Linked DNA regions of Drosophila melanogaster. The protein of the gene in region 2 interacts with the protein of the main gene of each other region in a pairwise test. Each region holds a gene or a part of one and is shown on either strand. Other genes may lie near its edges.

Region 1 (3,754 bases), 6.4 Mb from region 2:
CCGTAGGTAAGCACGCTATTCTTCGGCGCCACATATGTGCCATCGGGCAGCACTTGCTGGTTCTTCATCAGCATGTTGTTTAAAGGCACCCGTACGTTCTTCAGTCCCAAATAGCCATTGTTGACACCCTTCATGCCCAGCTTGGTACCAATATCTCCAATGTCGATGCCGGGCATGGGACGGTGAGTATCGGAATCCCTCAATTGGACAATAAAAGGAGCCAGACCACGGAACTCGCCCTTGGTGTAGAGTTGTGCCACCACAACCGCATGGTTAGCAGTGTGTCCCACTGCAAGTCCCAGATTTTATAACAATTTCAAAATATTAAGTGTTCAAGAAAACTCACATCCACCGGGCCACCACTTGTATGCACTGAGTGATGGAGTGTTTATAACAAACTCCTGGGTGCTGGCATCGTAGTCAGCCCTGGTCTCCAGACCGCGCAGGAAGGTTCCGTGTCCCAGTTCCGTTTGGGCATAGGTGCCAATGATTTCACAGTCCCAGGCCTTGCTCAGCCATTCCACCTGCTGATCCATCGTTCCCTGGCCCATGATGGTGGGCACGAACATCACGTAGTGCAGCGCAAGCGGATTGCCCTCCTTTAGAATAGCCGATCCCAAGGATCCACCAAGCAGAGCACTATAAGCACACAAATTACAACCTGAAGTACATTAAATATAAGGATTTCTTTACTTGTAAGTATCCACTCCATCCTCGCCATCAGCACGTAGCTTGCGGATCTTCTCTCCTATGATGCAGGCTTTGCGCAAGCTGTGCTCATAGAGCTCCTTGTGTGACAAATAGGAAATGGGCAAGTCGTCCTGAAGGGCTGGATCCTCCAAAAACAATTTCTCTGGAAAAATCATAAACGAAATTTAATGTAAATGAAGCCATAAGGAAAGGGATTTAATATTTTAGGAGGTGTCATTTAGATAAGCATTGTTGAATTTTGCAGCGTAATCATGAGTGGAAAGTATTCTTCGTTAATTCGCGGGAGTTACTGGGCATTGTCCATTTATGATGCCCTGAGCGACCGTGCAAATCTGTCAGATAAACCTATCAGCTAAACTAATTTCAAGTGGACCTGGAAATAGATGGTGGGTAGCTGCAAACATTCAAAGTACACAAGTAGTCGGATTGATCGCGATTCGCGCGAAGTTCAAAGATTAATAACTTATGAGCTGGCTAATAGGTGCTGATTAACTAGTAGCGGCTTGTTTATGCGGAATACATAATTAATGAACTTTGGGCCACGGCGTGCAGCAAAATCAACAAATCGCATGAATGAATGGACGGAGAAGAAGCGTATCAAAACAAAGAAGTTGACAGGATGTTTTGGATAATTTATCAGTGGCTGACATGGCTAGCATCAGAGTTTGTACCCTACAGATTAGCTATAAATGCGTTAAAGCCTAGCTTAATTGCCAAGTCATGCTTTTGGCACAATTTCTTGCATCCACTGTTGGGAAACGCGATTGCGCCAAGCTCAGATAAAGCTCTGAGCGACCGGTTAATGTGAATGTACATGTAGGTCTGTCGGGGTCACCGGAGAAGCTTGAAATCCGGTGTTTTTCCCTTCTAAGCTAACTCACCCAGGGCCTTCTTCTCCTTGAATCGCTCCTCGCCGCCGGCCCACAGAACGGAGAACTCCCGGGGATTGAAGGTGGCCGTGCTGCGTTCCTTCTGGAGATCGGGATTCACTGGTTTGGCTGGCATTTTGCTATGCGGCACAGTATTCAAGTCACGTAAACAGGTTATGGATTAACGAGCCACCGCAAAGCGTCCGTCTTCGTTGAATATCGCGTACTGACTGATTGTTGCTGGAAAGGCGAATTGCGCTCAGTGGTCAGTCAGTCGGTCACTCAAGTGCTGGTGGAGGAAATCCAGTGGAGGAGATTGAGATTATGGACTGCTGATCTGATCCAGCTATTCCGAATCTAATCATCGATGCCAGCTCTCGAACGACGTGAACTTTAACCGCGAAAATACACATGTAATAAGTTCGCTTTTGTGTTGAAATAGTCTGTAGCACAACCATTATTCTCACGCCATTGTTGTTGGGCTACATTTATGAGTAAATACACAAAATAAATACACTGCATGTAAAAAGTACTTGGGCGTTTTCTTTCAGTTTGTTTCTAATTTAAATAAGATTGCTTTCATAAGCTTCTTTGTTCGTATAATTTGTTTGCAAGTGAATAATGCAAATTCACTACATCTTTCTGCATAAATAACATCTTTAAAATGTCTCAAATTAGCCGTTTTAAAAAAAGTAGGGTATTTGAATTCCGCCTTAATTAATAGATTAATTTTGTTTTTAGCAGCTCTTTGTTTGTATTGTGACGAAATCAGCTGTTGAACAGGGCTGCAAAATACAAACAAGTACGGCAGCACTCGACAACTCCAGGGATACAGTCACCATAATCTTGGCGCCAATTCAAAAAAATTCAAAAATTCCAATTTTATTAAAAACATAGATATATTTGCTAGCTAAATGATCATGAGGTAACACCAATCTTTGGCCTTATAGCATAGGTTCAGGCTTGCACATACGGAAACACGTAAAATTAAATCACGATTTAATACACTTACTAGGTGGTAAATTCATTTGGCTTAGGTCAGAACATTATTTATAATATCCGCTTAAATGCCATGGGCATGGCTAGTGGCTATAGCTATGCCCCGCTGATGCTGCCCCATTCCAGAGTCATAGGAACAGCTGGCCGCTGGCTCCATTTGATGCACTTCCGCCGGATACCAGTGACTGTGAGATTCCGGCAACTGATGGTAACTTAGATCCGCCGAAACATGGGTTTCGCCTCGCGTAGTCTTCGGATAAGATTGCGTATGCAGGGTTTGCCAATCCATACGGGCGGATGAGGTGGTTGATGATGATGGGGCAAATGCCAAACTCCGGCTACTCTGGTGGAACTCAAAGGGCCAGCTCTGCAAGACAGTATAATGTGGAATGTGTGGATAAAACAGGCATAAATCATAGGAGTTGTGGAAACCGCAGGGGCTATATATGGAACAATATGACGACAACCCATCCCGAGACAGCGCCATTGTTTGTTTACGCAACTTTGATTGTTTTTAGTGCCCACCCCCGCCTCCACGTCTAGATCTACAATAACAGCCTCATTAACGGATCTATAAAAACATAAACAGCCAAACACTTGCGGACAAGAGACACTCATTTGTATGCCATACAATGAGGGATTGGAAATGGGATATAGGGATGCTAGGGCTAGCGAGCAAATAGCGAACCAATGGGTTGTTCCCAACAGATCATCTTGGGCGCGTGGATGGTATAAATTCGGATAGGGTCGGGACTCTCCGATCCGATCTGATTTGCCACCATATGGGCACAAGACGGAGCCGTATTTGCTGAATTTTTCACGCATTCGGTGTGTAAACAATTGCATCTATTTAGATAAGTTGTGCACGCCATGAATCTTGAGTGATAGATTGTGTAAACTCCAGCGGGAATGGCTGATGGATAAACACGGTTAGACAAATTTTAATTACAATAATCCGAGTGGGAAAACTACTGAGGATGACACTTTCCCTCGCATGTCATTCACTGTGTCGCTTCAAAGCATCAAGAGCATCTTTAAAAATAAAAAATAAAAGCAAAGACTAACTAGTGCCCCCCATCCAGATCCGCAGGTCTGCGTTACCATCTCCGTTCCCTGCCCGCTCCACCAACAGCCTGTCACTCATATTTAATATTTTCGAAATTCACAAAAGTATC
Region 2 (3,431 bases):
CCGAGTGCCAACGGCCAGCTGAACGAGGATGACGAGGCCGAGTCCACCAGCGGGGTGAAGATCCTCAAGCAGCAGGGCAAGAACAAACTGAGCCTGGCCCTGGATCTTCCCGCCCGCGGCTACTTCCTACGGGAGTTTATGCTCCGCGCCAGCCACGACCTGGAGCAGGTGCGTTATCCGGACGCATTAACGCGAAATCCAGCGACTCTAGCCTCCTTTTCGTTGCAGCAAAAACTGTGCGACGACAACGCTCACCCGGCAAACCCCATACTCCAGTACAACTTTAGGATCGTAAGAGATTGTGATTAGTATTCAGCTTAATTTATGGCACGGACCGAATCTGAACTCTAAAACCATGTGCGTGTGCAGCACGTTTCGGTGTTGCGGATGTGTCCTGGCACCTGGCGCGGAAAAATCGTTTGAATTAGGAAAATTCAAAAATTAAATAATCAAAAACTGTTGATCAGCGAGAGGAAGTTGAAAATGCATACATTTATACGTATACACAACAAATCATCAATAAATGCAAAAAAAAAAAAACAACTATCGACCATTAAAATAAAATATGTAGAGAAATCTTTTAAACCTGCCTTTTTAATTCAATTCAAGCAATCAAAAACCTATAAAAATATCTTCTTTCGTCGGCCTAACCATTTTATAAGAAAACCGAGAAACATATGTACGTCATATTAATGCACTTTACTATTAAACAAAGGGGAAACTTAACAGATAAACGACCGGCAGAGCTCTAAACGGCGAACGGCTGATCCTTGCCATCCTCGTGGTACTTGATGTATGTTTCCCCGTGGGTGAAGTCCTTGGTTCCCTCCAGGCGACCGCGGGGCGGTGCCTTCTCGTAGTCGAAGGCCTTCTCTGACTTGCCGAACAGCTGGTTGGCCATCTCGATGTCCTCGCGGTAATTGCCCACGACCACCTTCTTGCCAGTGAGCGGGTCCGTTATGTCACCCAGCGGATAGACCACTTTTTCCACGTTGTGCGTGATGAGGCGGGTGAGGCGCTCTGGCAGTTCCCGTATCAGGACCACGTCCCCGGTCTTGCACACCTTCTGCGGATCGTGGGCGAAGTAGAACTCGTCCTTCTTAAAGTACTGCGAGCAGAAGGGAAATTGTGTGAAATCTCCTGAGGCGAGATCTAATGTATATTATGCACACCATATTCAGGTTCTTGTCCAGCTCCATTCGGCGAATGCGGATCTTGGAGGCGTTCTGCTTGATGCAGGGCATGCACTGGCCCATTAGTAGGAGTCCTCGCCTCGACATTACTTTAATTTAATTTAAGAGTTTAGAAAAATAAACAACCGGTTGGGAAACACAGCTGGTAGATCACTGGCGATAGTATCGATTGGGCCTGGAACTATCAATATTTCGATATTTTTTACTCAGCAGTTTCTGATTTTCAAAATCCCGCCAAATGCAATCAGCTTGCACGCGTCAGTTAAAAAGTAGGGTAGTATGACTTTTCATCGCAAAAACAAGTGGATTCTAAGGACATAACATTTTCACCGTACTATAAACAGTGTATCAGTTTTACATAACATATCTTTTCAATTAAATAATGCTTTAATGGATTAAAAATGTTTACGTCAAAGTAAATACCTTTAAATTCATTTTGTTTATGAATAATACATATTTTTAATTCAAAATTGTAATAAGGAATTCGGCTCACGATGACATATCGCAAGATTTCCATTTATGTATCGATGTCTTCATGAAATACATTTCTGTGTAGTCACACTTATCGATAGACCGCGCACTCCACGTGTTTTTCGTCCATTTTCTCGCAGCGCGCAACACGTGCGGAGGTTTCTCTCCGTCTATTAGTTGATTTAGCAGAAAACGTAGATAAAATGGCCGACGTGGGTAAGTCTGGCAAGTGATGAATTAAAAGAGTGCCCAAATAAACGGACTATGCGCCCGCAGAAGTACGCAAGGAGAAGAAAAAGAAGAAGATCAAGGAGGAGCCCTTGGACGGCGATGACATTGGCACGCTGCAGAAGCAGGGCAACTTCCAAATCAAGCCCTCCTCCAAGATCGCCGAGCTGGACACCTCGCAATGGCCGCTGCTCCTGAAGAACTTCGACAAGTTGAACATCCGTTCCAACCACTACACTCCGCTGGCGCACGGATCGTCGCCCCTGAACCGCGACATCAAAGAGTACATGAAGACTGGCTTCATCAACCTGGACAAGCCGTCGAACCCCAGCTCCCACGAGGTGGTGGCCTGGATCAAGAAAATCCTCAAGGTGGAGAAGACAGGCCACTCCGGCACGCTGGATCCCAAAGTCACGGGTAAGTGAAGCGCGTGCTCGCCTACCGCCATACAAACCTAACCTCATTGTGTGCCGCGTGTTTTTTTTTCCTACAGGTTGCCTGATTGTTTGTATTGACAGGGCCACCCGTCTGGTGAAGTCCCAGCAGAGCGCCGGCAAGGAGTACGTGGCCATCTTCAAGCTGCACGGAGCCGTGGAGTCGGTGGCCAAGGTGCGTCAGGGCCTGGAGAAGCTGCGTGGTGCCCTCTTCCAGAGACCTCCACTCATCTCCGCCGTAAAGCGTCAGTTGCGCGTTCGTACTGTCTACGACAGCAAGCTGTTGGACTACGATGAAACCCGAAATATGGGTAAGTCAGAAGTTTTGTTTATCCATTCTCGCTCAGAGTTGGTGCGTCGCTGCTGGATTAGTTTATCCTGCAGAGGTGCAGCCTGCTTCAGCCAGTGAAACACCAGTATTTGCCTAACACAGCAAATGCACAATGTAATTGTTAAAACCTCGTCTTTTTCTCTCCTCCAATTCTGCCCACTCACGTGCTCAGGTGTTTTTTGGGTTAGTTGCGAGGCCGGCTCCTACATCCGTACCATGTGCGTCCATCTTGGTCTCGTACTGGGTGTCGGTGGCCAGATGCTGGAGCTCCGCCGTGTCCGCTCGGGCATTCAGTCTGAGCGCGATGGTATGGTGACCATGCACGATGTTTTGGACGCCATGTGGCTGTACGAAAACCACAAGGACGAGTCTATGCTGCGACGTGTGATCAAGCCGCTAGAAGGTCTGCTGGTCAACCACAAGCGCATTATTATGAAGGACAGTTCGGTAAGTTTGACATCCAGTTGCCGTTTGCGAAGTAGTACCCCATGATATTAAGCCGGCAGGTGCCTGCAATCCCCACGGGCACCTGTGACTATGATTGGGAACAGCAAAGCTGCTGATGTGTGTATGTTGGGCAGCGCTCTTATCCTGCGCGCTCGACAAAGAATATTCGGTCGACATTTCCTCTAGCAAAGGACCCCCTTATGATATCAACTAACAACCATCAATCTTTCTCCAGGTCAACGCCGTTTGCTATGGTGCCAAGATTACATTGCCCGGTGTCCTGCGCTACGAGGATGGCATTGAAATCGATCAGGAGATCGTCATTTG
Region 3 (3,754 bases), about 10 Mb from region 2:
CGACAAACTATTTTATACTTAAAAAAATTATCTAAATAATAAATTCTAAATTATCGGATTACAATTCAACTGTTTATATTTTTTTTTGTCTTGTGATTTGGATTGGATTTGGCTTAGGTTTTATTTGGGTAGGTTTTGGGTTTTGAATGCATTTCGAGTAAGGGTTTAGATAAGTATGATTCCATACCAAGTAGGCCTTTATAACGACTTCAGTGTCGGGCCTTAAGCTCTATGGCTTAGTACATTCGTTTTTCGTTACCGATTTCAAACAATTGAACTTGTAAAAATAAAAGTATTAAAGCTAACTAAAAATTTTAAGTATATACAACTGCCGCAGTAACGCAGGATACCAATAACCCATTGACGTAATGCATTCAGCCGGTAGGAGCAGTGGGCAAAGTGCGGGCTCAACACCCCGAGGTGGAGGACCCAACACCATCTCCGGGGCCACAGTGCGTTCCAAGTTAGCGGCACCTCTATCGACGCAGACGGCGGGAACACGGCGAACTGTTCACGGCGGAGCGGGCGATGGGGGAACCGATGCGGCTTGGAAGCAGACCGGTCGTCGCCTTGGCAAGCATAATCCACCTTCTCGGCTGGTCCAGCCCACGGTAGCCTCTTCGCTGAGGGCCAGCAGCAACAGGCAGACGGCCAAGCAGAAGTTCGAGAGAGCGAGAGGACATGAGAAGTCCAGATTAGTGGTGCCCTTGGCCAAGGACACCGAAACGGAAGTCAGGAAGCCAACGAAACAGCGTGTGATGTCGCAAGCGGCCAAACAGGCGGCACGGGATCGTCTCTGGCCCAGCAAACCGGCGGGCGTGGGTTTGAACTCGAATTTCCGCAAGAATAGGCAGCCAGTGCCAGAGGATTCCAATATTTTGCCGGATGTCGAGGAGGAGTCAGAATCGAAGGCGTCCAAGTCTCAGCAGCTACTGGAGACCGGCGTCCAGACGAATGAGTCTGAGATCCTCGATCATAAGCTAATCCTTGGCGAGGTGAAGATGGTATGCCCCTCCGCGCAGCTGGTCGATCAAATAGATCGGGAACGGCTCGAGCTTAAGGAGGAAAGAGAGCGACAATCATCGCGCAGGTTTGCTGCTCACGAGCAGCAGGAGGAACTGCATCTGGACGAACTGAAGGAGTTCTCGTTCCGGAATGCCGTGACCAAGAGGGCGCCCAAGAAGCCACCAACGCACCAGTACGCTCGCTATGATAATCAGTATCAGAACGTTTTCAAGTCCATGGACGATTTCTTCAGCCGGGTCCAAAACTCTATGCCCAAATCAGAGTCCGTGTCCACCATCCAGGATCGCATCAAGCGCAAGGAAGAGGAGCTGCTCAGGCTCTTCGACAACGTCGAGCTAAACGAATAATCTAAAAACTATAGGAAATTCTATATCAAATTGTCTGTGTCGTGCACGTAAAGTAGTAGTCCTTTTCAATTCAATGGTCATTTATGACTTTTAATGGGTGCTTGGGTTTTATGATATATGAGTGGTATGTTCTATAAAAAAAAAGAATTTTGGACTTCAAAACTGAGACTAACTGCCGATACAAATCAAGAATATATATATATATACGTTTAAGAACTGGTTATTTAGGTTATAACTTTGAGGCTTATTTTACTCCAACAACATTATATCGCCACTGTTTATGATCCAATAAAAGCCGTCTGAGCTAACTAATGGCTTGGAACCACACCTTTTGGGGAAAATTCAGCGTCAGCAAGTACACAGACATTAACTGAAGTCGTATTTAAATTGAGCTTAGCCAAGCGGCAATGGAGTGCCATACTAGCCAGGCCAGCACCAGCACCAGCACCAGCAGCTGACACTTTCTCTCTGGGCCGAAAGCGGGGTCAAGACGCTTTCATGACGGGCGGTTCTTCAGTCAACGCTGGCAACTGATCGCGCGAGCAATGGAAAATACGCCTCTCAAGTTTCCACACGAAATTCGCGATGTGGAGGAGTCCACCAATGCTGAGCTATTGGATCACTTCCATGGTATGTTTATAGCGCGCAAATGGCTTGTGATGCACCTAGTATATAAAAAATAAAAAAAAAAAAACAGGTGAGCGAACTGGCTTCGTTCAGGTCGGATCGGAGGGTTACTTCTTTCCGCACAAGTACAAGGACGAGGCCGAGCGGTACTACAACTTTGAGGCACGGCCGGATGACGTGTGGATAGCCACGGTGCCCAGATCGGGCACCACTTGGACGCAGGAGCTCATTTGGCTGGTGGCCAATGGGCTGGATTTTGAGCATGCCCAGGAGCGACCACTAACCGAACGCTTTCCATTCTTTGAGTGAGTGCTTGTCGCGCGATCCTATCTTAATTAAGTGAACTCCAACCGCCCTTAGATTTCCGCTCTTTGTGCATCCCAAAATTAAGGAAGAGCTGCAGGAGGAAAACCGAGACTCGGCTGAAGCTCTGGAGTTCATTGAGAAGATAGCTCGACCGGGTTACGAGGCTTTGAGCGAAATACCACGCTCGCAGCGACGGTTTATCAAAACGCATTTCCCCTTTTCTCTAATGCCGCCTAGTGTTCTCGAAAAGAAGTGCAAGGTGATCTATGTGGTTCGTGATCCCAAGGATGTTGCAGTTTCCTACTACCATTTGAACAGACTCTTCCGCACCCAAGGATACGTCGGAGATTTTGAGCGTTACTGGCATTATTTCCAAAACGGATTAAGTAAGTGATCCTTCGATGGAGTTGCCATCCTTAACCAACTATCTTTCAGATCCCTGGCTGCCCTATTACAGTCACGTTAAGGAGGCGCGGGAGCATGCCCATTTGTCCAATGTACTCTTTCTGCGCTACGAAGACATGTTGGCTGATCTGCCAGGTGCAATCAACAGCATAGCCAGCTTCTTAGAGTGTCCACCGAAACCCGAGGATATGGATAGGCTACTCGATCATCTGAGCATCAGAAGCTTCCGTGAGAACAAGTCCGTAAACATGCACGAAATGGCTTCCGTTGGCGTTCTCAACAAAGGAGAGGCAGGATTCGTGCGCAGCGGAGCCAAGACAGCGTATCAGCCGCAACAGGAGTTCGTGGAGAATCCGAAGCTTTTGAAGAGCGCCAACGAGTGGGTGGAACAGAATATTAAATCATTCAAGACCATATGAAATACCTGACTTTGTTGGCTATCTTTACTGGTGTTTTTCTTTTTTGGTTTTGAATTGAAACGGAACTAGACTATGACTAACGTATTTGCACATTGAAACTATCCACGCTCGCACTAGCGATCTGCTTGTGGATTTCGTTGACCTCCGCCTGGGTTAAGGTGCGCTCCATATGGCGATAAACAATGCGGAAGCACACGCTCGATTTCCCCGTTTTCGGGTGCTTAAACTTGTCCACCAGACTGATCTGTAAGAAAAGTAAAGTATATGAGAAATACTCGTAACATATGATACGTTTGGGATAGCTAAGACCAACCTGCTCCACCATATCACCAGCTACAGAGCGGACTAGATCGTAAAAGTCGTTCGGCGAGAAGCCGGCATCCACCTCAATGTCCTGGGGCAGCCAGAACGACAAGTCATTCGTGCACTGCGGATAGTGGGAGATGGGCTTGTACTTGGGCAGATTGTGCAGATCCTTTTCGCTAAACTGCGACAGAAAGCCACTGTCGTTCGACCAGAAGAGCCGGATGTCAGGTATATCGAACAGCACCATGGCCAGTCGCTCCAGGCCGACGCCAAAGGCGTAGCCAATCGATTGATGAACGCCCGATCTCTGCAGGATTT

Evidence for each region.
Region 1: the proteins of mRpS17 (region 2) and ACOX1 interact in a two-hybrid assay, tested with the Drosophila melanogaster proteins (one large-scale study listed by BioGRID).
Region 3: the proteins of mRpS17 (region 2) and St4 interact in a two-hybrid assay, tested with the Drosophila melanogaster proteins (one large-scale study listed by BioGRID).

What each region holds. Positions count from the first base shown.
Region 1 is NT_033778.4:17,759,228-17,762,981, reverse strand, and holds the start of ACOX1 (acyl-CoA oxidase 1), read right to left. Parts: upstream 2,043-3,754; 5' UTR 1,717-2,042; coding exon 1,593-1,716; intron 854-1,592; coding exon 694-853; intron 640-693; coding exon 347-639; intron 290-346; coding exon 1-289. Other genes in the region: HLH54F, read right to left, coding at 2,644-2,946. UniProt on the Drosophila melanogaster protein: Catalyzes the desaturation of acyl-CoAs to 2-trans-enoyl-CoAs. First enzyme of the fatty acid beta-oxidation pathway.
Region 2 is NT_033778.4:24,173,088-24,176,518, forward strand, and holds mRpS17 (mitochondrial ribosomal protein S17), read right to left. Parts: upstream 1,355-3,431; 5' UTR 1,281-1,354; coding exon 1,173-1,280; intron 1,109-1,172; coding exon 749-1,108; 3' UTR 578-748; downstream 1-577. Other genes in the region: CG3328 (uncharacterized protein), read left to right, coding at 1-168, 229-309; Nop60B (nucleolar protein at 60B), read left to right, coding at 1,868-1,880, 1,941-2,309, 2,386-2,637, 2,830-3,104, 3,340-3,431.
Region 3 is NT_033778.4:13,969,292-13,973,045, reverse strand, and holds St4 (sulfotransferase 4), read left to right. Parts: upstream 1-1,782; 5' UTR 1,783-1,918; coding exon 1,919-2,003; intron 2,004-2,070; coding exon 2,071-2,305; intron 2,306-2,360; coding exon 2,361-2,692; intron 2,693-2,741; coding exon 2,742-3,130; 3' UTR 3,131-3,136; downstream 3,137-3,754. Other genes in the region: CG18568 (uncharacterized protein), read left to right, coding at 369-1,373; PheRS-m (Phenylalanyl-tRNA synthetase, mitochondrial), read right to left, coding at 3,207-3,374, 3,444-3,754.